Linked DNA regions of Elephas maximus indicus. The main gene of each other region encodes a partner of the protein of the gene in region 3 in a complex. Links are inferred from orthologs where the notes say so. Each region holds a gene or a part of one and is shown on either strand. Other genes may lie near its edges.

Evidence for each region. The genes of interacting proteins can lie anywhere in the genome.
Region 1: the proteins of RHO (region 3) and GRK1 are in contact, whole or in part, in a cryo-EM structure (PDB 7MT8), measured with the Bos taurus proteins. The link is inferred for Elephas maximus indicus from reciprocal best matches to the Homo sapiens genes RHO and GRK1. Residues at the interface, in NP_001014890.1 of Bos taurus: Lys66, Lys67, Arg69, Thr70, Arg135, Val137, Val138, Val139, Lys141, Ser144, Asn145, Phe146, Arg147, Phe148, Glu150, His152, Leu226, Thr229, Val230, Ala233, Gln236, Gln237, Glu239, Thr243, Ala246, Val250, Met257, Ile305, Tyr306, Met309; in NP_776598.1 of Bos taurus: Leu6, Glu7, Thr8, Val9, Val10, Ser13, Ala14, Ile16, Ala17, Ala18, Arg19, Gly20, Asp23, Ala24, Glu184, Asp185, Trp186, Phe187, Leu188, Asp189, Phe190, Val192, Arg195, Glu200, Gln205, Met206, Lys207, Lys221, Arg222, Thr256.
Region 2: the proteins of RHO (region 3) and SAG are in contact, whole or in part, in a crystal structure (PDB 4PXF), measured with the Bos taurus proteins. The link is inferred for Elephas maximus indicus from reciprocal best matches to the Homo sapiens genes RHO and SAG. Residues at the interface, in NP_001014890.1 of Bos taurus: Arg135, Val138, Val139, Lys141, Leu226, Glu249, Val250, Met253, Met309, Asn310, Lys311, Gln312; in XP_010802144.1 of Bos taurus: Asp71, Ile72, Met75, Gly76, Leu77.

The regions. Positions count from the first base shown.
Region 1 is NC_064835.1:74,756,391-74,766,828, reverse strand, and holds the start of GRK1 (rhodopsin kinase GRK1), read right to left. Parts: upstream 5,428-10,438; coding exon 4,729-5,427; intron 2,374-4,728; coding exon 2,246-2,373; intron 1-2,245. UniProt on the Homo sapiens protein: Retina-specific kinase involved in the signal turnoff via phosphorylation of rhodopsin (RHO), the G protein- coupled receptor that initiates the phototransduction cascade.
Region 2 is NC_064824.1:135,422,589-135,433,026, reverse strand, and holds the start of SAG (S-arrestin), read right to left. Parts: upstream 4,938-10,438; 5' UTR 4,636-4,937; intron 1,328-4,635; 5' UTR 1,300-1,327; coding exon 1,225-1,299; intron 1-1,224. UniProt on the Homo sapiens protein: Binds to photoactivated, phosphorylated RHO and terminates RHO signaling via G-proteins by competing with G-proteins for the same binding site on RHO. May play a role in preventing light-dependent degeneration of retinal photoreceptor cells.
Region 3 is NC_064838.1:38,157,075-38,167,512, reverse strand, and holds RHO (rhodopsin), read right to left. Parts: upstream 6,544-10,438; coding exon 6,183-6,543; intron 4,041-6,182; coding exon 3,872-4,040; intron 2,559-3,871; coding exon 2,393-2,558; intron 2,264-2,392; coding exon 2,024-2,263; intron 1,208-2,023; coding exon 1,097-1,207; downstream 1-1,096. UniProt on the Homo sapiens protein: Photoreceptor required for image-forming vision at low light intensity. Required for photoreceptor cell viability after birth.

The DNA.
Region 1 (10,438 bases), on a different chromosome or scaffold from region 3:
TGGCCGCAGGGACGTTTGTCTTGCCTCAGCATCATGTCAAAAGAAGGAACCAGAGGCAGTAGCAAGACTTGTTTTAGCTGGTGGTTTTAACGTCCTCGCGAACACTTAACCACAGCTGTTAAAGAGGAGGAACGGAGATGACTCACATTCATCTTGTCTCCCTTTCCTTTCCCCATTCTGGCCGCGGACTCTAGAAAACAGGCCTCAAAGCCATTGCACTCTTGTGAACGGAATGAATAAAGGGGCAGAGGAAGGGGACAGCAATCTGGATAAGGAATCCAGGTTATTTCAAAATATAAATAATTCATTTAGAGTCTACATAAACACATAAGCTATTACATTCAACCTTAAGAATCAGAGTCCTTGATGGATTGTGGAGTGGTATATATATCTCTTCTTATTTTTTCCACTATTATATTTTACAGAAAAATGAAACCTAATGAATTAAAAGGGAGCCCTGGTGGTAGCACTGTGGCTAAGTGCTCGGCTGCTAACCTAAAAGTTGTCGGTTCAAACCCACCAGCCGCTCTGTGGGAGAAAAGACCTGGCAATCTGCTTCTGTAAAGATTACAGCCTTGGAAACCATATGGGGCAGTTCTACTCTCCTTTAGGGTTGCTATGAGTCAGAACTGACTCAGCGGCAACAGGTTTGGGTTTGGGTTGTGGTTAATGAATAAAATGAAATAAACTATTTAAAACTAGATAAACAACCAGGGAGAGTAGAGATGAAACAGGATTCCTAAGGAAATCCTTCAGATGAGAGCTGGACACAAGACAGCTAGAATAATAAAAATTAATAATAATAATAATAGAAAATACATTTATAAGTAAACATAAATAATATAATTTAAAAGGCCATTATCATTTCCACTGTCTTGAAGGTATTTTATCTGTACTTCCTAACACACTGTTCCTCCTCTTTCTTGTGACCTTGAATGGGTTATTTAAATTACACCTCAGATTCTTCATCTGTAAAATGGGGTAATCAAACTTACCTCATGAAGTTTCAATGGAGATAAAGCCAGATGAGAGAATGGAAGTGCAGGGCCTTGCAAATAACAATAGCAGCATCCCACTTTTATTTAACCCTTATATGCCAGCCACTCTTCCAAGTGTTCCACATGTATTACTCCACTTTATCCTCACAACAACCTTTGAACATAACCTGTTCCTGTTGAGTTGATTCCAACTCGTAGCCACCCTATAGGACTGAGTAGAAATGCCCAATAGGTTTCCAAGAAGTGGCTGCTGGATTTGAACTGCTGACCTTTTGGTTAGCAGTTGAGCTCTTAACCACTGTGCCACCAGGGCTCTCGACATAGGTATTATTACTTATCCCCCATTTTATAGATCAGGACACTGAGGCAAAGAGAGATTAGGTCGGCCAGCTAGAAAATCAGTTAATTTTCCTTCTCTTCACCCAAAAATAAAATTCAGATGACTGAGCTCAAACCCAATCAGGGTTTTATATGATCCAAGTCTCCCAAAGAGTCTAGTGGCCCTTTCCCCTGAGAGTCAATGATCTGGCTTGACCTCAGGAGCCCAGGGCCTGGCTCTCAGATCTAGGGCAAATCAAGGCACAGGGCAAACACTGAGACACAGCCTCATCCTCTCTGCAGGTGATGGGAAAACCATGGTATCCTCAACTGGCTACATTCTGTTCCTAGCTCTACTGATATTCCCTAAGAGCAGCCCTTCACAAAATGGGGCCCTTCACAAAATGGGGAAGTTGATGACGTCTGTCCTCATTTACTATCCCTCTTAATGGAGAGCCCTCAACTCCTCTCTAGGACCCCCACCTCCACCCCATTATTCATCCATCCAAATAGCACATACTGGTTGATCACTCTACCTGTAGTACCATATGCCTGCTGTCTACACCCCTCAGCCCCACCTCCCCAATGTCCAACCAAACCCAGCTTAGGAAAGGAAGTGACATCCTGATTCACAGAGATGTTTGAATGGCCTACTTCCCTCAGGGGTGCCTGCCTTTCATAGGAGACTGAGGGCGTGGCATTTCAGGTGTCAGCAGTGAAAACTAGGAAGAAGAGGATTTTGATCGGGGCACAGGGCTTTCCCACTGCCCCTTAAACAGCATTCATGAGTAGCCGCAGGTTCTGCCCACATGGGAAGCATCCTTGATCAGGTCCCAGAGATCCTCTCACTAAGCTCGGACCATCAGGCCATCTCTATCCCAGATCACAGCCAGGTCACCCTCTCCCACATTTGAAGAAGATTCATTTACCTTATGTCACCTCCATTCATGATGGTCATCACCAGACAGAGGTCGGCTTTGGTTTCAAACGCGTAGGCCAGAGAGACTATAAACCTGCTATGTACTTTTGCTAGAATCTTCTTCTCTACCATAGCACCCTGAAAAGCAAGATGTTGAGTAAGTACCCAGGTTTGGTCAGGAAAGCACCGTCACCATAAAATTCCAAGTTCCACAAGAAGGAAAACCTCATTAAGATCATCAGCTACAGTGTTGCCTACTGTTTAAGGTACACACGGAAAAATAGAAACATAGTTGCCACTATCTTTTTAAAATAGTACGTGAAAAGCAATTGCAATTAACTTATAAACAGGTGTCACTCTACCCATTTCATAGAGAGAAAACCTGATGTGGCAAATTCATTAATGCACAGAGGACTAGGCAGGCTGCTGGATCAGCCTCCAGGCATGTGATGCTCAAACCAACCAGTGTTTTAAAAATATCAGAATAAGATTCCACCTTCTCCTGACAACCTGTTTAGTGTTTACTTTCCCTTAGTGCTTTCCTTTATGTCTAACCAACTCATCTTTCCCCTTTTCTCTGGTTCAGGCTTCTGAAAGACAGAGAACATTCGGTCAGCACCCTCCCAAACCACCTCACACCTCTATTTCATTTTTTTATCTCTGTTTTAAAACCTCGTGCTGTTCCATTTAAACATGTTGTTAAAAGCTGTGTTTCGATAGGCAAAGATGAACCCTTTTTTGAGGAAGGAATTCTTGGTGGTGGAGAAGGCCCTTTCTATCCATACCTGGATGGAAATATTTTAAGTTGATTTTAAGCGGAGAAGAGACTATCGTACTCTAACAGCAGAATTAAAGTTACAGTTATACAACCATAAGGGGTAATTACTTCCACCCCAAAGTCTCACAGTGAGATCGCTGTGAATTTTCCTGGATCCCTTCACTCAACTGGTTGCTATAAGCGTCTGATATTTAACCTTTCAGTGAGATAGATTTGCACAATAGCTGCAATGATGGACTTGAACGTGTTGGCAGTCACCAGGATGATACAGGCCCAGGCAACGTTTCGTTCTGTTGTACATACGGTCACCATGAGCCTGCGCCAACTCAACAGCAGCTAGCTATCTACCTATCTAACCTTTAGCTAATGGACCTAAATGACACGTATGCCTGGCCCGTTGTCAAGGAAACGCCCAGCTGGGAGATGCTTTGTGGTGGTTGCTGTTTAACCCCAAACACTTTGTCTGCTCTTAACACTATCTGTGCTGTGCCACTTGAGGGCAAAAGAGAACCGTATGTGGCAGAACGTGCAGCTGGAGAGGCTGCTTTAAATGTGTTCCTAAGACATTTTAAGCAGCTTTCACTGATCCTGTCCTAAAAGGGCAATCTGGTGCCAGTTAGGTGGAGAGGATGAAACTTAGAGCAACCTTTATATGCCTTCCATTCACTCACATTCCCTGGAAAATAGCTCCGTTCAGGGGCAAAAACATTCAGCATCCCAGCATTACAGAGGGTTTCTGTCTCATATAAACATGTCAATCAAAGTGATATTTGACTGCAGGTAGGAAACCATTGTAAGGATGGCTCAGGACCAGGCAGTGTTTTGTTCTGTTGTGCATAGGGTCACTATGAGTCAGAACTGACTTGACGGCACCTAACAACAATGACAACAACAACAGGAAAGAAGGGGTATATGAGAACTCACTGTAGTTTCTGTACAATTTCTCTATAAGCCTAAAACTGTTCTAAAAAAATAGCCTATTTTTTTAAAAAAGTGATATTTGAATGAACACAAGTCCTGCCACAATTTTTTGTGCATTTTCCGTCATAATATAATCTAAGGGTTTGGGAAAAGGCTTTCAGAAGGAGTAAGAATCTAGAAGAATAAGCAGCTTTCCCCTATAAGGCACTCTTCCCCTTAAACTTGCTCCAGCATTTCAGTGGTGTTAGCAAAAAAAGAAAGATGACCAAACGTGGACTATCACCCACATCAAGAAGCAAACACTAAGGTGGGTCTCTGAGGAGGGAAGTCTGCAAACCTCCTGTCCATAGGAACAGCAGCAGGACAAACTGAACTACAGACCTGAAGAGGAATTTAGAGGTCATACACCTCATCCTGCTAGCTCCGCACTGTGGTCAGAAAACAGCAAGAGCTGAGATACAGTGCCACAAAAATAAGAAAGAAAAAAAAGGGCTAATTTTGATGTGCGATTTTAAACATGATGCACAAGAAAATGCTCTAGAAAAAAGAGCCAATAATTGCACACATGAAGTAGGTTTGGGTGGCCAAGGGCAAGGTTAACATCTTATCCAAGGCAATGCTGTCTTCTACGTCCAGTACGCAAACCAGCTAAGGGGGCCCATTGGGACGCTGACTAATCCTCTATGTTCTAATTTACATTCTCTGATACTCACCCACCCACCCCGCCCCACCTCACCCTGGGAATCTAAAAACTATTTACTTTGCACTTGCTGTGAACTACTGCAGCTGCTTACTTGGTACCCCTTCCTTTTCTTCAGCCTCTTCTTGTTCAGTTTTTTACAGGCATACATCTTGCCAGTTGCCTTCATCTGGCAGGCTGACACCTCCCCAAAGCCCCCTTTCCCCAGGATCCTGAAGTCCAGAAACCAGTCTTCCCCCATGGGCTGGGCCTCCAGCCACTTCCACTGGAGGAATCTCAGGAAGTAGAGGCTCGTCAGGTACTCCTGGAAGGGGGCCTGGCTCAGGTGTGCCATGGTGGCCTGCAGGATGGGTTGGAAGAGTCCGTCCTCAACAGCGGCATGCACCTCCTTCACCTTTGCCATCACCCCCTCGTCCAGAAAGCCGCAGAAGAGCTTGGCTTGGGGGTCCAAGTACTCAGCCACGATGGCCTGGGCCTTCTGCAACCGGAAATTGGTATCTGCTGTGTCATAGTCCTCGATGTCCTTCCAGAGCTCAAGGGCCGGCACATACCTCTCGTCTGTTTTCAGGAACTGCTGGAAGAGGCGCTTGCCGATGGGCTGTTCTGAACATACACTTTCAAACTCGAGGTTGAGACTCTCGCGAAGGGACTCGCATTTGGAGAGGGGGGGCAGCTTGAGCTTTGCAAGGTACTTCTTGTCCCGGGAACACTGGGTGCTGCTCGCATCAAAACTGGCCCGGGCGGCGATGAAGGCAGAATTGGCCACCACTGTCTCCAAGGCCCCAAAATCCATTCTGGTGCTGGTCCCTGGTCTGCTTCAGGCATGAAAAGCCATAGGTCAACGCTGGGTCCACAGAGGCTTCGTCTAGATGAGGGTTGACCTGTTGCCCTTGGCCGGTGCCACCTGTCCTGCCTTCACAGGGACACGGAAGATGTCCTGGACAGTGCAACGGACTGGGACTGGGAAAGTCCCAGGAACCTCAGGGGCTGAAGATACATCAAGTTAAATCCCAGGCTCCTGAGGGTTAGAAAGGGTGAGTTAGAGGTGACTAACAAGTGCCAGAAAAAGACAATCCCCTAAGCCATCTCCTAAATGGATTAGACAGATAATTCAACCCCAGCTCTCTTCTTTCTGGGCGACGGTGTTTATTTTCCTGTCAGAAAGAACAAACACCAGTATTCCCTGGGTGTGCAGCACTGAAGCGTTCAGCTACAAATTCGTTCTAAGTTGCCCTTCAATTCGATCCTCTGGCTTAACGCAGTGTGCTGGAATGCCTTTTTGTTTCCTGGTCAGAGGAATGTTGGACTGGAAGGTCTCTGCGTGGAGACTTGAACCCTGCAGAGGAGAGGTGCCAAGAGAGCCCAAATACGAAAGGCGGGGAGGGGGGTCAAGGAGAAACCTTAATTTATTAAAGATGCCTGGGTGTTTTTTCCCTGATTCACTTCATTTTTATCTTTAAAAACAATGTGAAGAAAATAAGCTGCTAGTAGTTTAGAAAGACAAACTAATAATAACAATAAAACAATGAAAAGCTTCCTAGGTTTATTCTTGGGTGAAACCACCGACTTGATTAATCTACACTTTGTTCTCTACAAGGGCAGGCACCTTGTCTGTCTGTTTCACCACTGTATCCGTAGCACCTAGCACATTAAAAAAAAAAAAAAAAAAACCTGTTGCCGTGAAGTTGATTCCAACCCCTAGTGACCCTATACGACAGAGCAGACCTGCCCCATGGGGTTTTTAAGAAGCACCTGATGGACTCAAACTGCCAACCTTTTTGTTAGCAGCCATAGCTCTTAACCACAACGCCACCGGGGTTCCAAAAAACAAACAAACAAAAAAGCTAGTTGCCATCCAGTCAATCCCGACTCATGGAGACCCCATGGGTGTCAGGGTAGAACTGTGCTCCGTAGGGTTTCGGTGGCTAATTGTTTAAGAAGTAGACCTTTCTTCTGAGGCACCTCTGGGGGGACTTGAATTGCTAACCTTTCAGTTAATAGCCGAGTGTTTAACCATTTGTACCACCCTGGGACTCCTTAGTACATAGTAGGTTCTCAACAATGTTTGTGGAAGAATGACAAGGACATGACTAGCTGAAAGAGGAGAGGTAGTTGGAGAGTCACAGAAACAAGGAATGTCTGAGCTAGAAGAGGTCCTGGAGACAATCCAGCCCACCCCACCTCACATCACAGTCAGAGTGGAGGAGTAACAAGGTGGGCAATGAGCTCTGCAAGCAGGTCCGGGGAAGAGGGGTGGGGTCCTCTCTAGCCATCGAGAAAATGGACCTGAGAACATGCTGTGCTGAGAAGTCATGGTCTTCACAGTCTCCTAACAAGCAAAGCTTAAGGCAGGTTGGCTGAGTAAGTATTTGAGGTGAATATTACAAGAAAAATTAAAGTAGCTAATATTACATTATCCTCCCAGGAGAACTTCGCTAGTCCCAGCCCTGGCACTTAATAGCAGGTGACCTTGAGCCGATCACTTTAACCTCCAAGCCTCTGGTTCCCCCTAAAACAACTTCTTGCCTGTCCCTCAGAATTCCATATAACAATGGTTTTCATGTTGCTGCGTAAAATACACCTTATTCCAGTGTTTCTTGAAGTGTGTCCTGAGTCAGGGCTTCTCAAACTTCAATATGCAAATGAATCTCCTGGAGATCTTGTTAAAATGAAAATTCTGCTTTAGTGGGTCTGGGGTGTCTAAGGTGTCTAACAAGTCCCAGGTGATGCTGAAGCTCCTGGTGCAAGACCACACTGTGAGGAACAGGGGTGTAAGGAATACAAACCCCTGTTGGATTAACATCAAGCTGTATCCTGGGGGATGGGGGCAGTTCCGTGCTCAAATACAATGGGAAACATTAAGCTCAACAAAGTTAAATACGTTTCCTTATTTAAAGTGCCCGACTGCTAACCCAAGGGTGGGTGGTTCGAAACCACCAGCCACTCCGAGGGAGAAAGATGTGGCAGTGTGCTTCCGTAAAGATTGATAGCCTTGGAAACCATATGGGGTCACTATGAGTCAGAATCGACTCAATGGCAGTGGGTTTGTTGGGGTTTTCTTGTTTGTTTGTTTCCTTATTGCAAGATTTATTCAGAGATTTTAGAATGAACTTGTCTTCCTGCGGGGGGAGGAGGGTAAAGAATGCAGTGTTTCCCAAACCCTTTTGGCTCTGGAACCCCTTTGTTTAAGTTAAACTTTTTATTTTGAAATGGCTGTAGCTTCACCTGCAGTTGTAAGGAATAATTCGGAGAGACGACCTGTACCCTTTCCCTAGTTTCTCCTGATACTGACATCTTGCCAACTGTAATACAATATTACTCCCAAGATACTGATATGGACACAGTAACAATACAGAACATTTCATCACCGTAAGGAGCCCTCAGGTTGCCCTTTTACAATCACACCTACTTCTCTTCTACCAGATCTGTTCTCCATTTCCATAACTCTGTCATTGTAAGAATTATTATGCAACTGGAATCTACAGTACTTAGCCTTCTGGAGTGGGCTTTTTCCACTCAGCATAATTCCCTGCTGAGTCGTCCAGGTTGTTACAAGTATCAATAGTTCGTTCTTTTTTATGGGTAAGTGCTATAGGGTCGCTATGAGTCGGAATCGACTCGACGACACTAGGTGTAGTATTGCATGGTATAGGTATACATGCCATAGTATTTTTTTTTTTTTTTTTCGGTTTGGTTGTTTGTTTTGTTTTGTTTTGTTTTAACCATTCACTCATTCAAACATCTGGGTTGTTTTCGGTTTGGGGCTGTTATAAAGAAAGCTGCTATAAACTTTCATGGACAGGTTTCTGTGTGAAAAGCGGCAAGGTTGCTGGGTAGTGTGATAGTTGCATGTTTAGGTGTCTTTTTTATTATTGTGGTAAAAAAGTATATAACAAAATTTTAATCATTCTTAAGTGTACAAGTCAGTGGCATTACTTATATTCACAGTGTTGTGCAACCATCACAAAACCCTTTCATCACCCCAGGAGCCCTCGTGGCACAGTGGGTAAGCGCTCAGCCTCTAACAGAAAGGTTGGCAGTTGAAACCCACCAGCCACTCCAAGGGAGAAAGATGTGGCAGTCTACCTCCATAAAGATTTACAGCGTTGGAAACCCTATGGAGCAGTTCTACTCTGTTCTGTAAGGCCACTGAGTCGGAATTGACATGTTGGCAATTGGTTTCATCACCAAGCACACCAAGCAGAAACTCTGTCCCCATTAAGCAATAACTCCCCATTTTCACTTCCTCCCTTGCCCCTGGGAAGAAATGATGACATAAAAGAACTGAACAGAAGAAGCAGAGAATACCAGAAGGATGTTTACCTGCCTTTTATTGACTGTGCAAAGGCATTCAACTCTGTGGATCATAACAAATTATGGATAACATTGCAAAGAACGGGAATTCCAGAACACTTAATTGTGCTCTTGAGGAACCTATACATAGATCAAGAGGCAGTTGGTTGGACAGAACAAGGCGATACGGCAGGGTTTAAAGTGCAGGAAAGAGGTGCGTTAGGGTTGTATCCTTTCACCATACCTATTCTATCTGTGGAAACCCTGGTGGCATAGTGGTTAAGTGCTATGGCTGCTAAAAAAAGGTTGACAGTTCAAATCCATCAGGCGCTCCTTGGAAACCCTATGGGGCAGCTCTACTCTGTCCTGTAGGGTCACTATGAGTCAGACTTGACTTGGTAACAATGGTTTTTGTTTTTTTTTTTTTAATTCGATCTGTATGCTGAGGAAATAATCTGAGAAGCTGGGACTGTATGAAGAATAACAAGGCACCAGGATTGGAGAAAGACTCATTTACAACCTGGGTTATCCAGATGACATAACCTTACTTGCCAAAAGTGAAGAGGATGTGAACCACTTACTAATGAAGATCAAAGACCACAACTTTCAGTATGGATTATACCTCAACAAAAAGAAAACAAAAATTCTCACAACTGGACATATAAGCAACATCAGGATAAAAGGAAAAAAGATTGAAGTTGTCAAGGATTTCATTTTACTTGGATTGCCAATCAACACCCATGAAAGCAGCATTCGAAAGTTTAAAAGACTCATTTCATTGGGCAAATCTGCTGCAAAGGGCCTCTTTAAAGTGTTAAAAAGCAACGATGTCACCTTGAGGGCTAAGGTGCACCTGACCCAAGTCATGGTATTTTCAATTGCCTCATTTGTATGTGATAGCTGGACGATGAATAAGGAAGACCAAAGAATAATTGACGCCTTTGAATTGTGGTGTTGGAGAAGAATATTGAATACACATTGCACTGCCAAAAGAATGAACAAATCTGTCTTGGAAGAAGTACAACCAGAATGCTCCTTAGAGGCAAGGATGGCGAGACTACATCTTACAACATACTTTGGACATGTTGTCAGGAGGGATCATTCTCTGGAGAAGGACATCATGCTTGGTAAAGTACAGGGTCAGCGGAAAAGAGGAAGACCCTCAGCAAGATGGACTGACACAGTGACTGCAACAATGGGCTCAAGCATAACAATGATTGTGAGCATGGCACAGGACCAAGCAATGTTTCATTCTGTGGTACATAAGGTCGCTATGAGTCAGAACCAACCCCACAGTACCTAACAGCAACAACGACCCCAGCCCCTGGTAGCCTCTATTCTACTGTCTCCAGGCGTTTGCCTAGTCTAAATATTTCATATAAATTGAATCATACAATATTTGTCCTTTTGTGTCTGGCTTATTTCACTTAGCATGTTTTCAAAGTTCATCCATGTCGTAACATGTATTCTTCATTCCTTTTTATAGCTGAATACGTATATAACGAATGGGC
Region 2 (10,438 bases), on a different chromosome or scaffold from region 3:
AAAAAAAAAAAAAACACAAGAGCAGCGTATGCAAAGCTTAGAGCCAAGAAAATGCTCCATCTGCAGGTGAACGGCCAGTAAATGGAGATGTAGGCTAAAGCCAGAAAGGGTCTTGTGGAACCTGACCCTAAAGATCTAAGCAGACATTGAAGACCTGACCCTAAAGATCTAGGCAGAATGAAAGACCTGCAGTTACATAGTATTTGGAGCACCTCTCATGCACCAGGGGCCAAGCTAAGGACCGTAACTGCATTATTCTATTTAATCCTCACACGACTCCATGGAACAGGAATTAACCCCATTGTACAGAGGAGAAAACTGAGACTTTGATCACGTCAGCAGCAAAGTGGAGAATGGATGGGCTAAGGGAAGCCAGTTAGGCAGCTGGATTGGAGGAGGGAGGATTGAAGAGTGAATGGGAGGGGTGTTTTCTTCTCCTTCAAGAAGGCTTGGCTGTGAACGATGGAGAACGATAAGGAGGTTAACAGAAGTGGAATAGGGTTAAGGGAAGCTTTTGCTGTTGTCCTTTTTAAGATGCACGAGGCTGGCACTTGTGTTTATGCTCAGGGAAAGCACGGGTACAGAGGAAGAGGTTAAAGATGCAGCCAGGGAGGGCCTGATGGTTGAGAACCTGAAGAGGCGGTGAACCCTGAGATCCAGGTGGATGTACAGTGGTGAGTCTCCGATGGGAGCCAGGGCACCTCTCTCCTGCAACTGGAAAGGAAGTGTTATGGGTTGAACTGTGTCCGGCAAAATGATATGTTCAAGTCTTAACCCCCAAAACTGTGAATGTGACCTTATTTGGAAATAACATCTTTGCAGATGTAATTGGTTAAGTTAACGTGAGGTCATTCTGGAGTAGGGTAGGCCCTAATCCAACATGATGTCCTTATATGACAAGGAGACACAGAGAGACGCAGAGTGAAGATGGCTGTGTGGAGATGGAGGCGGAGATTGGAGCGATGCGGCCACAAGCCAAGGAATGCCTGGAGCCACAGAGGCTGGAAGGGTGAAGGAAGCATCCTCCACTAGGGCCTTCAGAGAGAAAATGGCCCTGCTGACACCTTGATTTCTGACTTTCAGCCTCCAGAACTGCAAGAGAATAAACTCCTATTGTTGTAAGCTACCCAGTTTGTGGTATTTGTTATGGTGGCCCGAGGAAACTAATAAGAATATATCTTTTTCACACCCTTCCATTAAGCCACTCACTCCTGTGCCACTTACCGACTTGTCCCGGGAGACCTTCTTGAAGATGACATGGTTTTGGGTAGACTTACTTGTCTTCCCACTGGCTGCCATGTTTTCTGTCCCTGGCAACTTCTTTCACCTTGGGATGCACAACAGGGAAAAGGTAAAAAGATCCTAAATATAAAGCCAAGAACATGCTGGGTGTAAAACCCAGTCAGGGGATGCTATATATCCATTGATCTTTTCCTTCTACCTGCTCAGCTCCCATGTTTGACTAAATAAGGTCTTTGTTTAGTTTGTATTTTGCTGTGGTGTGCTTTTATTTTTTTAATTGTACTTTAAGTGAAAGTTTACAAATCAAGGCAGCCTCGCATACAAAAAGCTATACACACCTTGCTGTGTCCTCCTAGCTGCTCTCCCCGCAGTGAGACAGCACACTCCTCCTCTCCACCCTGTATCCCCGTGTCCATTCAGCCAGCTCCTGTCCCCTCCGACCTCTCACCCCGCCTCCAGACAGGAGCTGCCCGCATAGTCTAATGTGTCTACTTGAGCCAAGAAGCTCGCTCCTCACCAGGATCGCTTTCTGTCTTATAGTCCAGGCTAATCCTTGTGTGGAGAGCTAGTTGGCTTCAGGAACGGTTTTGGTTTTGGGCTGACAGAGAGTCTTGGGGCCATGACCGCCGGGGTCCCTCTGGTCTCAGTCAGACCGTTAGGTCTGATCTTTTTACAAGAGTTTGAGGTCTGCACCCCACTTTTCTCCTGCTCCATCAGGGATTCTCTGTTGTGCCCCCTGTCAGGGAGGTCACTGGCGATGGTGTGCTTTAAAAAAAATACGTATATATTCTTTCTTTTTCTTGGTAAGCCTCAAATACGTCTTAATCAACATCCTCAAAAAGCCCAGCTAGATTCAAGCGAGAGGGTTTTACTTCCTGACGACCCTCCGACGAATTCACGTTTGTTGTTGTTAGTTGCCATCGAGTCAGCTCGTGCCTCACGGCGACCCCATTCACAACAGAATAAAACGCTACCTGGACCTGTGCCGTCCCCATGATTGGTTTCGGATCCAACCTCTGTGATCCATAGGGTTTTCTTTGGCTGATTTTTGGAAGTAGGTCACCAGACCTTACCTCCTAGTCTTTCTTAGTCTAGCAGCTCTGCTGAAAGCTGTTTAACATCATAACAACACACAAGCTTCTACTGACGGATGGGTGGTGGCCGTGCATGGGGAGTGTTGGCCGGGAAATCGAACGTGCGCCTCCCGAGTGGAAGGCAAGAATTCCACCCTTATACTAGCACTACCCTCCACTTCACACTTAGCCAGGTTGAATTTAAAATTCTATCATTACAGTGTCTTATGGCAAGTAAATAGAAAAAGTTGCTGAAAACCACAAGACAACTACTTCAAAATATATTACATCCCCAGGCGTTCTGTTCCACCATTCCCACTAAGCAACGCTTTCCTTTTCTTGCACTCTCTTTTGTCACTCCCCAGCTGCGCAGACAACTGGGAGACCGTCTTAGCTGTCTGGAATTAAATGCTTTCAGATCAGAGATTCCTTAACAAGCAAAGTCCCGTACACAGAAGGGTGACACAGAACAGACCGATTACCCGGAAAAGCCCATTAGGCTGTCTACTCGCTTTTTTTTAGGTTTACAAAAAAAAAGAAAACACAAAGAAAAGAAGAAAGCACAGAGGTTCCCATATACACCTTTCCCATCACCCTCCCCAGCTCTCTCCTCCTATTGACATCTTGCATTCCTGTGGTACATTTATTACAACAAATGAACATTTACTGATAGTTTATTACTAACTAGAGTCCCTGGGTGGGACAGCTCAGCTGCTAACCAAAAGGTTGGAGATTCCAGTCCACCCAGAGGTACCTTGAAAAAAAGACCTGGTGATCTACTTCCAAAAAATCAGCCACCGAAACCCTGTGGAACACAGTTCTACTCGGACACAGATGGGATCACTGTGAGTCGGAGTCAACTCAACACCCACTGGTTTACTATTAACTACCAAAAAAGAAAAACCCTAATTGCCATTAAATCGACCCTGACTCATTGCAACCTCAGAGTAGAACTGTGCTCTGTAGAGTTTTCTTTGGTTGTGGTCTTTCAGAGACGATCACCAGGCCTTTCTTCCAAGGCAACTCTGGGTGGATTCGAACCACCATATCTTTTGGTTAGCAGCTGAGCACGTTAACCATTTACACCATTCGGGGACTCCTTAAGGTCCATAGTTTACCTTGGGGTTCACTCTTTGTGTTTTGCAGGTCTACGGGTTTTCACAAACGCATAATGTCATGGACTCCCTGCTACAGTATCACACAGAATAATTTCACTGCCCTAAAAAACCTCTTTAAAGTGTTGAAAAGCAAACATGTCACCTTGAGGACTAAGGTGTGCCTGACCCAAGCCATGGAGTTTTCAGTTGCCTCCTGTGCATGCAAAAGCTGGACAATGAACAAGGAAGACCTAAGAATTGATGCCTTTGAATTATGGTGTTTGCGAAGGATACTGAGTATACCGTGGACTGCCAGAAGAACAGACAAATTTGTCTCGGAAGAAGTACAACCAGAATGCTCCTTAGAAGTGAGGATGGCAAGGCTTCATCTCATGTATCTTGGACAAGGACATCATGCTTAGTAGATGGTCGGTGAAAAAGAGGAAGACCCTTAACAAGACAGATTGACACAGTGGCTGCAACAGTGGGTTTAAGCATAACAACGATTGTGAGGATGGCACAGGACCATGCAGTGTTTCGTTCCGTTGTGCATAGGGTCCCTGTGAGTCGGAAGCGACTGGACGGCACCTAACAACAACAACAACAACAAAATGCCAGTGCTTCACCAGTTCGTCCCTCCCTTCTACCCACAAGCTCCTGGCAACCACTGATCTTTTTACTGTGTCTACAGTTTTGCCTTTTCCAGGATACCATATAGTTGGAACCTGCAATACGCAGCCTTTCAGCCTGACTCGTTCCACGCAGCTATATGCGTTTTGCTGTGAGTCGGAATCAAATGGACAGCAACCAGTTTGGGTTTATATGCGCTTAAGGCTCTCCCATGTCTTTCCCCGGCTCGAGAAGTGCTTTCTTCTCTCTAACATTCCACTGTCTGGCTGCACTGGTTGGCCTGTCCGTTCGCCTACTGAGGGATCACCAGTTAACCGGTTGCCGTCAAGTCAGTTCCGACTCGTGGCGACCCCACGTGTGTCAGAACAGAGCCATACTCCACAGGGCTTTCAGTGGCTGACTTTTCGGAAGTAGAATGTCAGGCCATTCTTCTGAGGTGCCTCTGGGTGGGCTTGAACCTCCAACCTTTCAAGTAGCAGAGCAGCTGAGCACCCTAACCGTTTGCACCACCCAGGGCTCTTGTTGAAGGATGCTCTGTTTTTCCCCGGGCCCCCGCCAGAGTTTCTGAGAGGCCTAGGCTGGCTGTCACATACCTTGTGATTTCTGAGCACCTGCCAACCGGCCCAGGCAGTGAGGACAGGTCTCCGCGGGCTCCAAGGATGAGGGGCTAGCAGCTGCCTCCGCACGAGCCGGGCCTGACGGCGACCCCCAGGCACAGCGATGTGTGTGGGGATTTGTAGTGGGTCTGAGAGGAGGCCAGGCACCCCGCTCGCAGTGTCTAGAAGCCAAATCCCACTTACAGAGCTGGATGGAAATTGGATTAGTGCGGAGGTGGGCAAACTGGCCGTTTCAGCAATTCTGAGCATTAGGCAGGGGTCACACCCGTCGCCTCAGATTGGGGCCGCACAGACGCAGGGGCTGCCATACCAGCCTGGGGAAGTTGGGGGCGGGGGGGCGGACGACAGTTAGATGGAAGCTCCTTTTGATCCTAAACCTCTTTGGGTTCTGAAAATAGACTGATTATCCCTTCCTCCCCCCCAGTATCACCAGGACAGGGGATTTTCAAGTGCTCAACAAACTTGATTAAACACAGCTGGCAGCTAATTCAACCTTGAGGATGGGAACGTAAACAAAAAGGTCAAGGAGAAATAGCAACCTCAAGAGCAGCCCTGGAGCCCTGGCTTTACACAAGCCCTGCTGGGGAGGCCCCTCTCCTTCCCCCTCAAGCCCCGTCTGTCAGGATCGCTGTCAGTTTCTCCCCCATGGCTCCAGAGTCAGTCTACTGCTTCCCACCTCTACCACCTTATCTTCTCTCTTTCTCTCTTCCTTCCTTCCTTCCCTTCTCTGTGTTCTTTTTTAGGGGGAGGGGGTGTGGGGAGAAAATATGTGTTTTTATATTATCGTCTCTGTATTATTCAATTTTTTTTTTTTTCTATACATGTATTGGAAACTCTGGTGACGTAGTGGTTAAGTGCTATGGCTGCTAACCAAAAGGCCGGCATTTCAAATCCACCAGGCACTCCCTGGGAACCCTATAGGGCAGAACTGCTCTGTCCTACAGGGTCGTTATGAGTTGGAATCGACTCCAGGGCAACGCGTTCGGTTTTTATACACGTATTGGCCTTGGTGGTGTACTGGTAAAGAACTCGGCTGCTAACCAAAAGGTCAGCAGCTCGAATCCACCAGGCACTCTGTCTGCTAGGGTCGCTATGAGTCGGAATCCAGCCACGGGTATACCTGTATTAGGGTCCCCGGGTCTTGCAAACTGTTAAGCCCTCGGCTGCTAACTGAAAGGTTAGTGGTTCAAGTCTACCCAGAGGCTCCTCGGAAGAAAGGCCTGGCAATCTACTTCTGAAAAATCAGCCACTGAGAGCCCTACGGAGCGTAGTTCCACTCTGGCAACTCAAGGAGTTGCCATGAGTCAGTCGACTCGACGGCACCTGGTTTGTATACACATATGACATTTTTTTATTATGATAAAATGTAGGTAATGAAACAGCTGCCATTTCCATCATTTCTCTGTGTACAATTCAGTGACGTTAATTGCATTCACCATGATGTGCGACCACCACAGGTTCCAATTTTTTTTCTCACCCCTAGCAGAAGTTCTGTGCCTTTTCGGCAATCGCTTTTCCCTCCTGCCCACCCCTGGTAATAAACTCTGTGCTCTGCACATTTGTCTACTCTACATGTTCATATAAAACCAAACCAAACCCACTGCTGTCGAGTCGATTCCAACTCGTAGTGACCCCATAGGACAGAGTAGAACTGCCCCCTAGGGTTTCCAAGGAGCGGCTGATGGATTCCAACTGCCGACCCTTTGGTGAGCAGCCAAGCTCTTAACCACTGTGCCACCAGGGCTCCAGTGTCTGACCTGTTTCACTCAGCTTGTTTCCAAGGTTCATCCACATTGTAGTAGGTATTACGACTTCATTTCTCTTTATGGCTGAGGAATATTCCACTGTAGGGATGGACCACATTTTGCTTTGTCCATTCTTCTGTTGATGGGCACTTGGGTTGTTACCACCTTTTTTGGCAACTGTGAATAATGCTGCTGTGAACATTGGTGTGCAAATATCTGTTTGTGCCCCTCTTTCAAGCCTCCTGGGTATGTATCTAGGAGTTAAATTGCTAAGTCATATGGTAATTGTGTGTTTAACTCTTTGAGGAAACACCAAACTACTTTCCACAGTAACTGCACCATTTTATCTTCCCACCAGCAAGGGACGTGGGTTCTAATTTCTCCACATCCTTATTGTTTTCCATTTTTCTGACGATAGCCATCCTAGCTAGTGTGAAGTATATCTCACTGAGCTTTTCATTTGCATTTCCCTAATGACTAATGACATTGGGCATCTTTTCCTGTGCTTATTGGCCATTTGTAGATCTTTGCTGAAGTGTTTAGTCATATTCTTTGCCCATTCTTGGATTGGGTTTTTTGTCTTTTTGTTCTTGAGTTGCAGTACCACATCCTCTTGAGTCCATGTATCCGTCATGGTTTTCCTAAACCATAACTTCCTGGCTGTCTGACAGCACCCATCTCACCCTCCAGTCTGGTCCATGTCGCAGCAGGGAGACCTGCCAAGCCCGGATCCATCGCCCTCCTGCTCACAGCGCCCTTTGCTCTCAGTTTACAGCAAAGAGATCACAGTGCTTGCCTCTCCATACTGAGCTGCACCACGCTCCCCTGCTCCCTCCCCACTTGCCTGGAAGGACCTGTCTCTCTCTTTACCTCCGTGCCTCTTCTTTGCCCTAAGATGTCCGCTCCGGAGCCACTTCTTCAGGGGAGCCTTCCCCAACCTCCCAGATGAGGCTGGAGGCACGGCTGCATGTTACTCTTACTTGGGAACTATTTTACGGTCTCTGTCACCTGGTGCTGCTGTAACAGGAATACCACAGGCAGTGGCGTTAAGGAGCAGAAATTTATTTTCTCACAGTTAGGAGGCTAGCAGTCCAAATTCAGGGTGCCGGCTCTAAGGGAAGCCTTTCTCTCTCTGTTGGCCCTGAGGGAACTGCCTTGTCTCTTCAGCTACTGCTCCTTGGCTCCTTGGCAATCTTCATGTGGCATCACTCTTTCTCCATTTGTGCTGCCTTCTCTGTGCCTGAGCGGCCCTTTTTATATCTCAAAGGTGATTGGTTTAGACACACCCTATGTGGCTATTGCCTCATTAACATAATAAAGAAAACCCTATTCCCAAATGGGATTGCCTCCACAAGTATAAGGGTTAGGATTGACAACACAGGCTTTTGGGAACACAGCTCAAGCCGTCACAGCAAACCTGGCTCTGGACGGTGCTCAGGGTTAAGTGGCTGGGATGCTGTGGCCACTGGTATATTGGCGACCAGAGCCAGTCTAAGCCAAAAGCCTGGTCTCGTCGTCGGCATGCCAGCACCTGCTGGAAACACTCTGCTGCTTCCATCTAGTCTACATGCTGCCGGCGAGTTGCCGCGTGATCTGGCTCTCCTGTTGTTGTTAGGTGCCATTGAGTTGATTTCAATTCATATCGACCGTGTGCACAACAGAACAAAACACTGTCCAGTCCTACACCATTTTCACAATCGTTGCTATGCTTGAGCACATTGCTGCCGCCATTGTGTCAATCCGTATCATTGAGGGTCTTCCTCTTTTCCACTGACCCTGTACTTTGCCAAGCATGATGTCCTTCTCCATGGACTGATCCCTCCTGACAACAGGTCCAAAGTATGTGAGATGCAGTCTTGCTATCCTTGCTTCTAAGGAGCATTCTGGCTGTACTTCTTTCAAGACAGATTTGTTCGTTCTTTTGGCAGTCCATGGTGTATTCAATATTCTTCGACAACACCACAATTCAAAGGCACCAATTCTTTCTCGGCCTTCCTTATTCATTGTCCAACTTTCACATGCATATGTGGTGATTGAAAACACCATGGCTTGGGTCAGGCACACGTTAGTCCTCAAGGTGACATCATTGCTTTTCAACACTTTAAAGAGTTCCTTTGCAGCAGATTTGCCCAATGCAATGCGTCTTTTGATTTCTTGACTGCTGCCTTCATGGGTGTTGCCTGTGGATTCAAGTAAAATGAAATCCTTGACAACCTCAATCTATTCTCCGTTTGTCATGATGTTACTTATTGGTCCAGTTGTGAGGATTTTTGTTTTCTTTATGTTGAGGTGCAATCCGCACTGAAGGCTGTGGTCTTTGATCTTCATTAGTAAGTGCTTCAAAGCCTCTTCACTTTCAGCAAGCAAGGTTGCGTCATCTGCATAAAGCAGGTTGTTAATGAGTCTTCCTCCAATCCTGATGCCCCGTTCTTCTTCATATAGTCCAGCTTCTTAGATTATTTGCTCAGCATACAGATTGAATAGATATGGTGAAAGGATAAAACCCTGATGCACACCTTTCCTGACTAAACCATGCAGTATCCCTTTGTTCTGTTCAAAGGACTGCCTTTTGATCCATGTACAGATTCTTCAGGAGCATGATTAAGTGTTCTGGAATTCCCACTCTTCACAATGCTATCCCTAACTTGTTAGGATCCACACAGTCGGATGCCTCTGCATAGCCAATAAAACACAGGTAAACATCCTTCTGGTATTCTCTGCTTTCAGCCAGGATCCATCTGACATCAGCAATGATATCCCTGGTTCCAAGTCCTCTTCTGAATCCAGCCTGAATTTCTGGCAGTTCCCTGTTGATACACTGCTGCAGCTGCTTTTGAATGATTTTCAGCAAAATTTTGCTTGTGTGTGATATTAATGATATTGTTCGATAATGTCTGCATCAAATATGGATCTTTTCCTGTCATTTGGCCAGGAAGCTGTCTTCCATATTTCTTGGCATAGACGAGTGAGCACTTCCAGAGCTGCATCTGTTTGCTGAAACCTCTCAATTGATATCCCATCAATTCCTGGAGCCTTGTTTTTCGCCAAGGCCTTCAGTGCAGCTCGGACTTCTTCCTTCAGTACCATCGGTTCCTGATTAGATGTTACCTCCTGAAATTGTTGAACATCAACCAATTCTTTTTGGAATAGTGACTCTAAGTATTCTTTCCATGTTATTTTGATGCTTCCTGCATCATTTAATATTTTCCCTGTAGAATCCCTCAGTACGGCAAGTCTAGGCTTGAATATTTTCTTCAGTTCTTTCAGCTCGAGTAATGCTGAGCGTGTTCTTCCATTTTGGCTTTCTATCTCCAGCTCTTTGCACATGTCATCATAATGTCTTACTTTGTTGTTGTTAAAAATTAGGTGCCCTCAAATCAGCTCCGACTCACAGTGACATAATATATATCAACACTCATCTGTCAGTTTGTCATACTGTGGCTGCTTGAGTGTTGCTATGATGCTAGAAGCTATGCCATTAGTATTTCAAATACCAGCAAGGTCACCCATGGTGGACAGGTTTCAGCGAAGCTTCCAGACTAAGACAGGTTGGAAGTAAGGCCTGGCAATCTACTTTCAAAAATCAGCCAGTGAAAACCTCATGGCTCTCCTGTTACCTCTGACCTTATTTCTGATCACTGTTCCCTTCCCCCTCTTTGCTCCAGGGCACCGGTCAATTGGCTTTTCTTTAATGCTAGGCACCACCCTGCCCCAGGGCCTTTGCAGTTGCTGTTCCCTCTTCTGGATTATTCTTCCCACACAGAGCTACATGGCCCACTCCCTTACTGCCTTCAGGTCTTTACTTCAGTGTCACGTTTCCACTGAGGTCGTCTCTGGTCAACCTGCCCATCCTATTGTTAATCACCCCTCCCAACACTTCTATTGCCCTTTCCTGCCTTCTTTTCTTTCATGGTACTTATCACCATCTAGCATACAAGGTAGTCAGCTTCTCTGGGTTACTGCCTGCCCCTCCTTCCTAGACTGTAAGTTCCAGGAGTGCAGAGAATTTCACCTGTTTTATAGCTCTTCCCTCC
Region 3 (10,438 bases):
CGAGAGTGACATCGGGGACTCAGCTCGTCATTGAATGTGGGCGGATGGGCATGGCTGCTAGAAGCTCTGTACAGAACCCAGAGATGCTGTGTCCTGGGAGCTAGGGCAGAAGGACCAGGTGTTTCTCAGAAGCCGAGAGAGAGGCCCGGCAAACGGAGACACTGGGCCTGGACCTTGGCCCCAGACTCCAGGCCCTGATGCTGTTTTTACAGGTTTGTTGACTGCATTCCTTTGACTGGCCCTCCCTGCAGCCGGACCAGTTCTGGTATGGCCTTGAACACCTAGCTACTTTTTAAAAACGTGCTGAGGCTGCGTGAAACCCCATTGTCTGGATGGTCAATCTCAAAATGATCACTATCAAGAGGAGATAATCACAGTAGTTAATTAATCATATTAATAGGTATTATTCATGACCTTAACTACAGTCTGTACAGCTCTTTATCATTTACAAAGTGCTTACACACATGCGTGCACATGTGCACGCACACACACACACACACAATCTCATCTGATCTTCACAGCAGCCCTAGGTAGGAGGCAGGTCCAGGATTGGGATTTCTGTTCTATGGGGCAAGAAAGGGAGGCTCCGGAGGGAAAGCAACTGCCCAAGGTCACATAACCAAAAGTATGAGCTGCTGTTGCTAAGATGCTTTTGAGAGGACAGGTAGATTTTTCCCAGCCATTCGTTCCTCCATTCTTTCCTCCATCCATTCCTTCCTTCATCCATCAAGCTTTTATTAAGCACCTACTATGTGCCCCTCTCTGTGCTAGACACTTATCCCTAAGCAGGGACACTTTCCAGAGAGCAAGAGTCCTTGTGTTCCTGAGAGATGAGGAGGGAGGAGGCAGACAGGTCCCATCAGCCCCTGGGAACTCCAGATTGGGGTCTCGGTGTGGTCCCTCCTCAGGCTGACCCCACCGAGGGGGCAGCTTCATTTTTCTCTCGTTAGTTCATGATTTTTATTTTTCTTCTTTTAAATCAGGGAACCTGTGTGGCCTGGTTCCGACAGGCACCCTGCTGGTGGGGCGGCTATGGCTTGGGGCAGGTGCGGGGGGTATGACTCTCCTCTAGCCGGTGCAGAGCCTTCGGTAGGGCTTAGGCCGGGGCCACCTGGCTGGTCTCCGTCTTGGAGGCGGTGGTGGAGCCCTCTTCCTCACCGAATGGGTTCTTGCCGCAGCAGATGGTGGTGAGCATGCAGTTCCGGAACTGGAAGGCAAGGAGTGTGGGTCAGAATCAGGGTCTCCCAGCGTGGGGCCCTGGCAACCTGGTGAGGGTAGAGATTTGCCTCTCACTCCTTCCCTGCTTCTGTCCTTCAAGACCTCCTCTCCCCTCGAACCTGGATCTCTGGAGGGAACTTAGCATAAATTATCTCCACTCTGAGATGCCAAAGACCAAACCCAAGGGGGCTTTGACACCGACAGAGTGAGAAACTATTGTGCCGGCAGCTTCCTGTGAATTATCTTTCTGTGGATGAAGCAACTGAAGTGACTTCTCCCAGGTCACACAGCTAGAAAATGGCAGAGCTGGGCTTTGAACCCATGCCTGACTCCAGACACTGTTTTTCCCTCCGGATCATAGATTCAACAGAGAAAACTCAGGTCTTTGTTATAGGGATGTTTTAACCTGTTCAGATCTTCTGGCCTCAGAATAAGACTTTTTAGCTTCTTGTTCAGCTTCATGGAAACTGGCACTGTTCAATTCCCGGTCTTGGGACTTGGACCATTTGACTGTAAAGCGAGCCTCCCAAACCATTTGAACCAATGCTTCTCAAGCCCTAATGAACATCAGAATCCTTGGGAGGGCTTGTTAGAAATGCAGATTCCTGGGCCCACCCCCAGAGGTTCTGATACAGTAGATCTGGGTGGGGCCCAGGAATCTGCCTTTCACACGGGCTCCCAGATGAGGCTACCTACCCATGATGCACTCTGCCCTGATGAAGACTGACTCCCCTGCGGGCACTGCACAGAAAGGAAGACTGAGGCCCCACTGAGGATGTGACCCTCCCCACCCAGCCCACAACACCTGCTTATTCATCATAATGTAGATGACGGGGTTGTAGATGGCAGAGCTCTTGGCAAAGAACGCTGGGAGGGTCATGAGGATGGGCCCGAAGTCAGAGCCCTGGTGGGTGAATATATAGAAGGCCACGCTAGCATAGGGCACCCAGCAGATCAGGAACGCGATGACCATGATGATGACCATGCGGGTGACCTCCTTCTCCGCCTTCTGGGTGGTGGCTGACTCCTGTTGCTGGGCAGCCGCCTGCATGGGGAGAGGCCTGGTGTCCAGACTGGTTCTAGGACAGGGGCAGGCATCCCACTCAACATGCCTGTTCCCAGGGCCTAGCACAGCCAGGCACTGAGCAGAGGGACAGAGCTGGGGCCCACATACCTCCTTGACCGTGAAGACCAGCTGCCCGTAGCAGAAGAAGATGATGGTCATAGGGATGGTGAAGTGGACCACAAACATGTAGATGACGAAGGACTCATTATTGACCTCGGGCTTGAGCGTGTAGTAGTCGATCCCACATGAGCACTGCATGCCTTCAGGGATATACCTGGGGCCAGGAAAAGGGGGCCCCAATTGTGAGAGTCTTTGGGAGCAGGCCCCAGAGGCCAGAATCCTGGCTCTGCAACATACTTGTTGTGGGGCCATGAGCCAGCCTCTGCCCTTCTCTGGGCCTCACTTTACTCCTCTGTAAAATGGGGAAAATAAAATACCTATTAGGCTGGGTGATTGTGAATTTGAATCAACCGAGGCCAGGGAGTCCCATGTACCTTGTGAAAAACAATGTAGTTTCACTGTACTTGGCAGCTGTGGGACTAAGACAGACTGCTAGCCTCTGGCCCAGTCCTGCTCCCAGGACTGCCTGGCCCCACATTTCTCTTTGCATTGCTGCCTGCCCACTGTCCCATGTTCCGTTTCTTCCCCAGGTCAACTGTCTCCTAGTGCCTGGAGGGTGGGGACTCGGACTTCACAGGGCAAAGTTGTGGCAGAAGGAAAATGCCCACAAGCTCTGTATTTGAGGCAGTTTGTACAACCTGGGCTCTCACTAGCAATAGAGTAAGAGTCTTTTCTAGGCCAAAGATGGGCACGCAGAGTAGAGAGGGGATTTTTGTGCAGCTTCTGGAAACAGAAGCTCCTGGGGCAGGCAGTGAGGGTGTTTCAGAGGTTTCTGAGGACAGAGAAATTGTATGTGGAATGCCCATTGGAGAATGTAATGGCCAGATTGGAGAAGATGGGGGAGAGGTTGGGAGGTGGGGATGGGCTCAGAGTGGGCAAGATGAGAAACTGACCCGGGAAGATTAGAGAGGATGAAAGGGAGGAGAGAGTGGGATTTTCCTGGAGCAGAGGGACCATGAAGCCTTGGAAGCTCTGTCTTCTTTGGCCACAGTCCTTACAGTCCCTAGTCTGGGTACCCTAACACCATCCCCACCACCTCTCAGCTCAGCCCCCATCTGGAGACCATGGCCTGAGGCCAGACTAGACCAGTTTCTAGTGGCCAAAGTCACTGCCTACACTCGGAAGGTTGGGCCTCTCCCATGCTGAGGCCCAAGGTCAGGGCTGCCCGTGGAGCACTGGGCCAAAGAGGATTGTAATTGGCCATGGCTTAGTTGAGGATTAGGGGCAAAGCCAAGGTGAAGGTTTGGTGAGGCTTAGATTCTCCTTGACAAGGGGGCTCAGAGGCTAGGACCAGTCTCCATGGTAACATCAGGGTCTGTTCCTCTTCCCCTATCCTAAGCCTTACACTATGAGAGTTGCCAGGGTGGGCATTTGGGGTAGGGGGCCTAAGAGCTCGGTCCCTGGAATCAGACAGCCCTGGGTTTGAATCCTGGCTGGAGGCCCTTCCCTCCTACCCAGCCCCATTACCTGGACCAGCCAACGAGGGGTGGCGCAGCACAGGCCAGAGCCATGACCCAGGTGAAGGCGACACCCATGATGGCGTGGTTCTCCCCGAAGCGGAAGTTGCTCATGGGCTTACACACCACCACATACCGCTCGATGGCCAGGACCACCAAGGACCACAGGGCGATTTCACCTGCAAGGCAGTCAGCAGTCAGTCAGCACGGCCCCTGCCTGGACCCCACCTGGCTGTCTGAGGAGGGGGCACTGCTACTTACAGGGGAGGGCAGAGGGAAGCCCTCCTGGAGTGGGCGTTTGAGCACAGGATAAGAAGGGCTATGAGACGGGGAGGGGAGGCCATGAGGGTCAGGCAGTATCCCAAGAGGGGTGAGCAGATAGTCCTAGTTTAGTTCGGTTAAGCACTGGGGCCACAAGGGGCACTGAAGCCAGACTATGGTTCACAGTTGTAGGAAGTTTTTAGAGAAGGACATGTCCTTCCTGGGCAATAGGCTGAGTGCCTTGGTGGAAGGAAGGGTAGCGGTAGAGGGAACCTGGAGCTGAAAGTTCTCCCTCCCTCTGGGCTAGTCTCCCCTCTCCCAGAGAAGTGGAAGCACCCAGGCCCCGGGAATCCTCTGTTAGGGGCCAGGAAGGATTGGGTGACACTCTGTCCTGAGGAAGCGAAAGGTAATAATGATGGAATCCAGAAGCCTGCCCTTCACCTCAGCCCTGAAGCTCAGTAGGTAGTGGGGCTGCATAACTTATCAACCAAACCGGGACATTTCCAAGAGTGCAAGGGGACACCACTAATAATGATTCCAGGACAACAGTTACAAACTGAACTGACCCTGGAGACAAGTGTCCACCTCTTTGGGGAACTTCTGTTCCACTCCCACCTTCAGGACTGAGCCTGAGTGAAATGGGACCATTGAAGGAAGCGAGCACCCAATGATGACCAGAGTCCTTGAGAATAGGACTGGGAAGCATCCTGGACGTGTGAGGGAGGGAAGGCCAGGAAGAGCAGGCCGCCCTGGCTTGGAATAACCTGACTCTTGCCTCTCCTTCTTGTTATGTGTCCCAGGAGACGTTCCTGGATCTGAGCCAGAAGACCCAGGCTCTGGGCTTGCCCTGTTACTTCCCTAAATGAGTCTCTTCCCTCTCCATGCCTCAGGGATCCATTATCCCTGTGGCACCCCCATCAGTTTTCTAGTCAAGTGAAAGGTAATGTCTGAAAGCACTTTTTAAAGCTACAGATTGCCACAGGTCTAATGCCTCCCTGTGAAAGGGGTGGTGTCCCTGGGTGGCGCAAACGGTTAAGCACTGAACTGCTAACTGGAATGATGATGGTTCAAACTCACCCAAAGGTACCTTGGAAGTAAGGCCTGCAATCTGCTTCCAAAAGGTCACAGTCCTGAAAACCCTAAGAAGTGCAGTTCTGCTCTGCACACTTGGGGTCATAATGAGTCGGAATCGACTCAACAGCAACTAACAACAGCAACAGTGAAAGTGTTTCTTCAGAAGGTGATAAGCTCCCCAACACAAAAAGCATTCAAGCACAGCAGAGAGGCTGGAGGGGCACTCAGGTATCAGGTGGTCCTGGAAGGATTGGTCCTACCACCCAGCACAGAGGGGGTGCTCAGAAGAAACTCAATGACTAGAGGAGGGAGAGTTGGCTTCCTGCCCTGGGCTGGAAGCCTCTGGAGGGTAAGACTTGTCCAGTTCTATCCCCAGTGGCCACCATGGGTCCACCCAGTGCAGCTGTTCCCAGGGCAACAGAGGCTTGGAGTGCAGAGCCTAGCCTGAAGAACCACAGAGATGGAACTTAGCTCTGCCCCCAGCACTCTGGGACCTCCAGCACTGGCTTCCTCTGAATCTTAGTTTCCTTGCTACAAAATGGGACAATAGACCCACTTCCAATGAGATAAAGAACGTTTAGCGGCTGCCCTCAACAAAAGGCACCTATCTTATCATTACTGACAATGTTTGTTGATTGAATGAACCAGGGCCTTGAATGATGCTGGAGTCCCTGGGTGGTGCAAACTGTTTAAGACCCTCGGCTGCTAACCAAAAGGTTGGCAGTCCAAGTCCACCGAGAAGTGACTCAGAAGAAGGCCTGGAGATCTACTTCCAAAAAATCAACCATAGCAAACCCTATGGAACACAGTTCTACTCTGACACTCAAGGGGCTGCCATGAGTTAGAGTCAACTCAACAACAACTGGTACAGGTACTGGATGATGCTGATGAGTCCAGTGAGAAGAAGGCCCCTCAGCCTCCATCCCTAGGTCTGTAGCTATCCCCAGCCCCTTGCAGCCCTCCGCCCACCTGCCCTTAGCCCCTACCGCCCAGGGTGGCAAAGAAGCCCTCCAGGTTGCATCCAGTGGACCCGAAGACGAAGTATCCATGCAGAGAGGTATAGAGGGTGGTGGTGAAGCCGCCAAAGACCATGAAATGGTTGGCTACGGCCAGGTTGAGCAGGATGTAGTTGAGTGGTGTGCGCAGCTTCTTATGCTGCACGGTCACGTAGAGCGTGAGGAAGTTGATGGGGAAGCCAAGCACGATAAGCAGGAACATGTAGGCGGCCAGCATGGAGAACTGCCATGGCTCTGCTAGGTAGTACTGCGGGTACTCGAAGGGGCTGCGTACCACACCCGTCTTGTTGGAGAAGGGCACGTAGAAATTCGGGCCTTCTGTCCCATTCATGGCTGCGGCCTCAAGGCTGCCCACGCGCTACAACCTGAAGATGCTGCCCAAGCTGGGATCAGTCACCAGGACACCAGCAAATGACTCTGGGCTCAGACACTCCCCCCCCCAAGCCCTTATAAAGTGACCTCCCCTCCCTAAGCTCTGGGCTGAATCAGCACCTGGGAGATTGGGGGCGTTATTAATCATACTAATCACCACTTGCAACTGGGACCTAATTGGCTTCCAAGAGGGGCCAAGGTGACACCAGATGGAGCCTGGGGTCAGTGAGGGCAGGTGCTCAGGGCCCTGGGAACAGGAAGTCGCCCCTCCTCCATCTCTGCCCATCTCACTCTGGTGGCTCAGCCTGGGGCTGGGGCCTACCTACTCCATGTCCATTGCCCTTTAAATCCAGGTCTTTTTTGATGGCACCATGAGCTCCCACGGGCAGGGGGAGGGGAGGCTGTCTTCCTTTATCCTCTACCACGCACCTATTCCTTCTCTATCTAGACTGCTCCAAGGCTCACCTATTCCCTGACACAACACTCGCTCATCTCAGATTATGAGCTTTGTGGGGCTAAGTGCATCCTGCCAGCTTCGGCACTCCTAGTGTCAAACTTCCAGCACAGCAGGGCCTTGGCGCTCACTCAAGAAATGTTGGTTAAATTGAGTTGGAATCTACTCACTCATCGTTCATTAAGCATCTATGTTCTGGCCTCTGGGGACACAGAGACTGAGAATAAATGGCCCTGCCAGGAGGAGTTTCTGGGCTGGGGAGGACTGAGATGTGGGAAGGAAGAGATCCCCACCCAATAAGGGGTATGCATGAGGCCATGAAGAGGGAAGGTCATCAGGAAGGCTGTGTTTGGGTCTTTGGGGTGGGGATGGGGGAAACAGCACTGGTGAAGCAAAGGGCTGAGCACAGAGCAGATGCTTGAGGCTCCAGGCTCGAGGTCTGGGGAAAGAGGCCCCACACAGCTGAGGGGCAGGAGAAGGGCTGGGGCCAGCTCTGATGGGCATTGAATGCCAACGCTGGAGCTTGGCTTTGCCCAGAGAGCAATGGGGAGTGGCCTGAGCAGAACTGGGGGCAGAAAGGTGGCTCAAAGGCCCAGCAGAAATGGATTGGAGGGAGTAAGTATGAAGGAGGGGGCCAGGAGGGGTGACCAGAGCAGGGACCTTGTAGGCAGGAGGGGTCTATGTGGCAGGTGCGGGGGGGGCACCAGGTCACTGCCGTGAGTGGGGCAGACTCGGCCCTGCCCTTCTGCAGGTTCCAGTCCGAAGGCAGGAGAACCCAGGAGATGTGAAGCAGACAGGATACTGTCTGGGGTCATCTGTCGGTGTTTGCTACCAGGTGGGCTGGGAGAGTGGGCCCAGGATGCTGCCTGACAAGAGCCCCCGAAGGCTGGTCTCAGGGCAGCGGGACACACAGTGGGGAGGAAAGCGCCAGGGGAAGGTGGTCTGCGTGCAAATGTCACTGGGTACTGGCAGGTGCAGTCTCTCCAAGCACACAAGTGATGCGAGGACGACCCAGCTAAGGGTGAGCAAGGGTCCACGAGGTGACGAATGAGGGCACTGGATGGGCCTCATGCAGTGCTCTGGACCATTGCTCATTCTACAGATGTTTATCAAGCACCTACTGTGTTCCAAGACAAGGTTCTAGGTTCTGGGAGACCCAGTGGTGAGACAGAGCCCCTGGCCCCAAACAGGCAATGAAATAAATAACAATGGAACCGCCAAACCCGTTGTCGTCAAGTTGATTCCAACACATAGCAACCCTGTAGGACAGGGTAGAACTACCCATAGAGTTTCTAAGGAGCGCCTGGTAAATTCAAAGCGCCAACCTTTTAGTTAGCAGCTGAGCTCTTAACCACTGAGACACCATGGCTCCACAACAAGTGTTACCTGAAGAAAATAAAACAGAAACCTGTGATGACTCATCCCATTCCTAACACCTATAATTTATAGTAAGCAGCCAGGGAAGCCTCTTGGAAGGCCAGGGAAGCCTCTTGGAAGGTGAAGCTTGAGCTGAGAACAGAACGATGGAATGGGACCAACCATACCAAAATCGGGGGGCAGGTGGGTTCCTGGCAGGGGAAACAGTACTTTAAAAGACTCTGAGACAGGAACAGAAGGTCACCAGGGTCAATGTCCCTGTCTCTAGGACTTCCCTCCTGTTATGAATTGAATTGTGTCCCCCCAAAATGTACGTTGTGTGTCCTAACCTCTATGCCTGTGGTTATAATCTCATTTGGGAATGGGTTGTCTTTGTCACGTTAATGAGGCAGGATTAGTGTAGGGTGTGTCTTGAGTCAATCTCTTTTGAGATATAAAAGAGATTAAATGAGTGAGTGAAGGAAGATGAGATGGGGGAAGAGAGATGCCATGAAGGTCCATGCCTTCAAGGAATAGAAGCTAAAGAGACATGGACCTTCCTTCAGAGCCAACAGAGAGAAAAAGCCTTCCCCTAGAGACAGTGCCCTGAATTTGAACTTCTAGCCTCCTAAACTGTGAGGAAATAAATTTCTGTTTGTTAAAGCCACACACTTGTGGTGTTTCTGTTATAACAGCACTGGATAACTAAATTGTTAGATGCCGTTGAGTCAGTTCCAACTCATAGCAACTCTGTGTTAGAACAGAACAAAATGCCGCCCAGTCCTGCACTATCCTCACAATCATTGCTATGTTTGAGCCCGTTGTTGCAGCCACTGTGTCAATCCATCTCATTGAGAGTCTTCCTCTTCTTCGAAGATAAGTAAGACACCTCCCTTACACTTTCTCTCGTCTAGTCTTTCTTCCCAATCTGGGGTTCCTGGATCATGTCTGCTCAGAAAAGTGCCTCCCACACTCCAGCCCACCTGGGAATCATGATAACTCCCATGTTCCAGCCCTGTTGGTGTCTAAGGCTTTTCCCATAGGTGGGGCTGATGGACAGTGTGTTCATGAAGTGGAGTTGAGAGGGAGGGGTAGTGCTGACCTCTCGAAGTTTAAGGCGCTTGGCTGGTGATTAAGCCCAATGCGAATGAGGTCAAGGTGGAGGGTTTGATTCCCACAGACCCTGCCAGAGACGGAGCACTGATCTCCTGGGCCAAGAGCGGCCCACACCCAGCCCCACCCTGGCGGGCCAAGCCCAGACCCTTACACCTGCTCTCCTTTACCTCCACATTCTCCTGTCTCCTTTCTAATGCTTAGGACTATTTGGAAGCATTTTATTTATATTCTGTTCATGTGCTTTTTGTTCCTCTCCCAGAGGATCCCTAGACTCCTAGCATATAGCAGGAACATCGTGAATATTTGTCCTTCCACTAGAAAGAGCTGGGATTTCTGTCTGATGTGTTCACCAAGCCTGACACATAGTAGGTGTTTTGTAAGTATTTGTTGAGTGAGTGAATGAGTGAATGAATGGGTGTGTCTAGGTGATCTGGGTAAACACTCTCCTTTTCATAGCCTCAGTCTGTAGGAGACTTTGCTCATCCCTCCCTCAGGCTGTGGGAGGAATCAAAGGCCATTTCTGGGGAGACGGTGCTCTGTATTCTGTAAAGCAAGATCAAAAAAAATTTTTTTAAACAAAAAAGCTCTTTGTTAAGCAGGTTCGCAGAGAAAGGTGGCGGAGTCGCTATCGTCAGTATGTCACCTACTCTACCTCCCGGTCCCATTTTGCAGACAGAGAGACTGAGGTCCAGAGTCTGGCCGTGAGCTGCCCACATTCTGCAACAGATGGTGCACCCTGCTTCTCAGTGGCTTCATGGGGTGCCCCAGACCGGCCCTGATGACCCTATGGGAGACACAGGGTGTAAATGACTAGGACAGAGTTTAGCTGGGGTGGTGGGAAAAGCCGTAGGCTGTCAGGCAGGCCTGGGTGATGCAGCCATTACCCTGACTGGTGGGTCGTCTGAGACTCAATGCCCCGCTTGCCTTC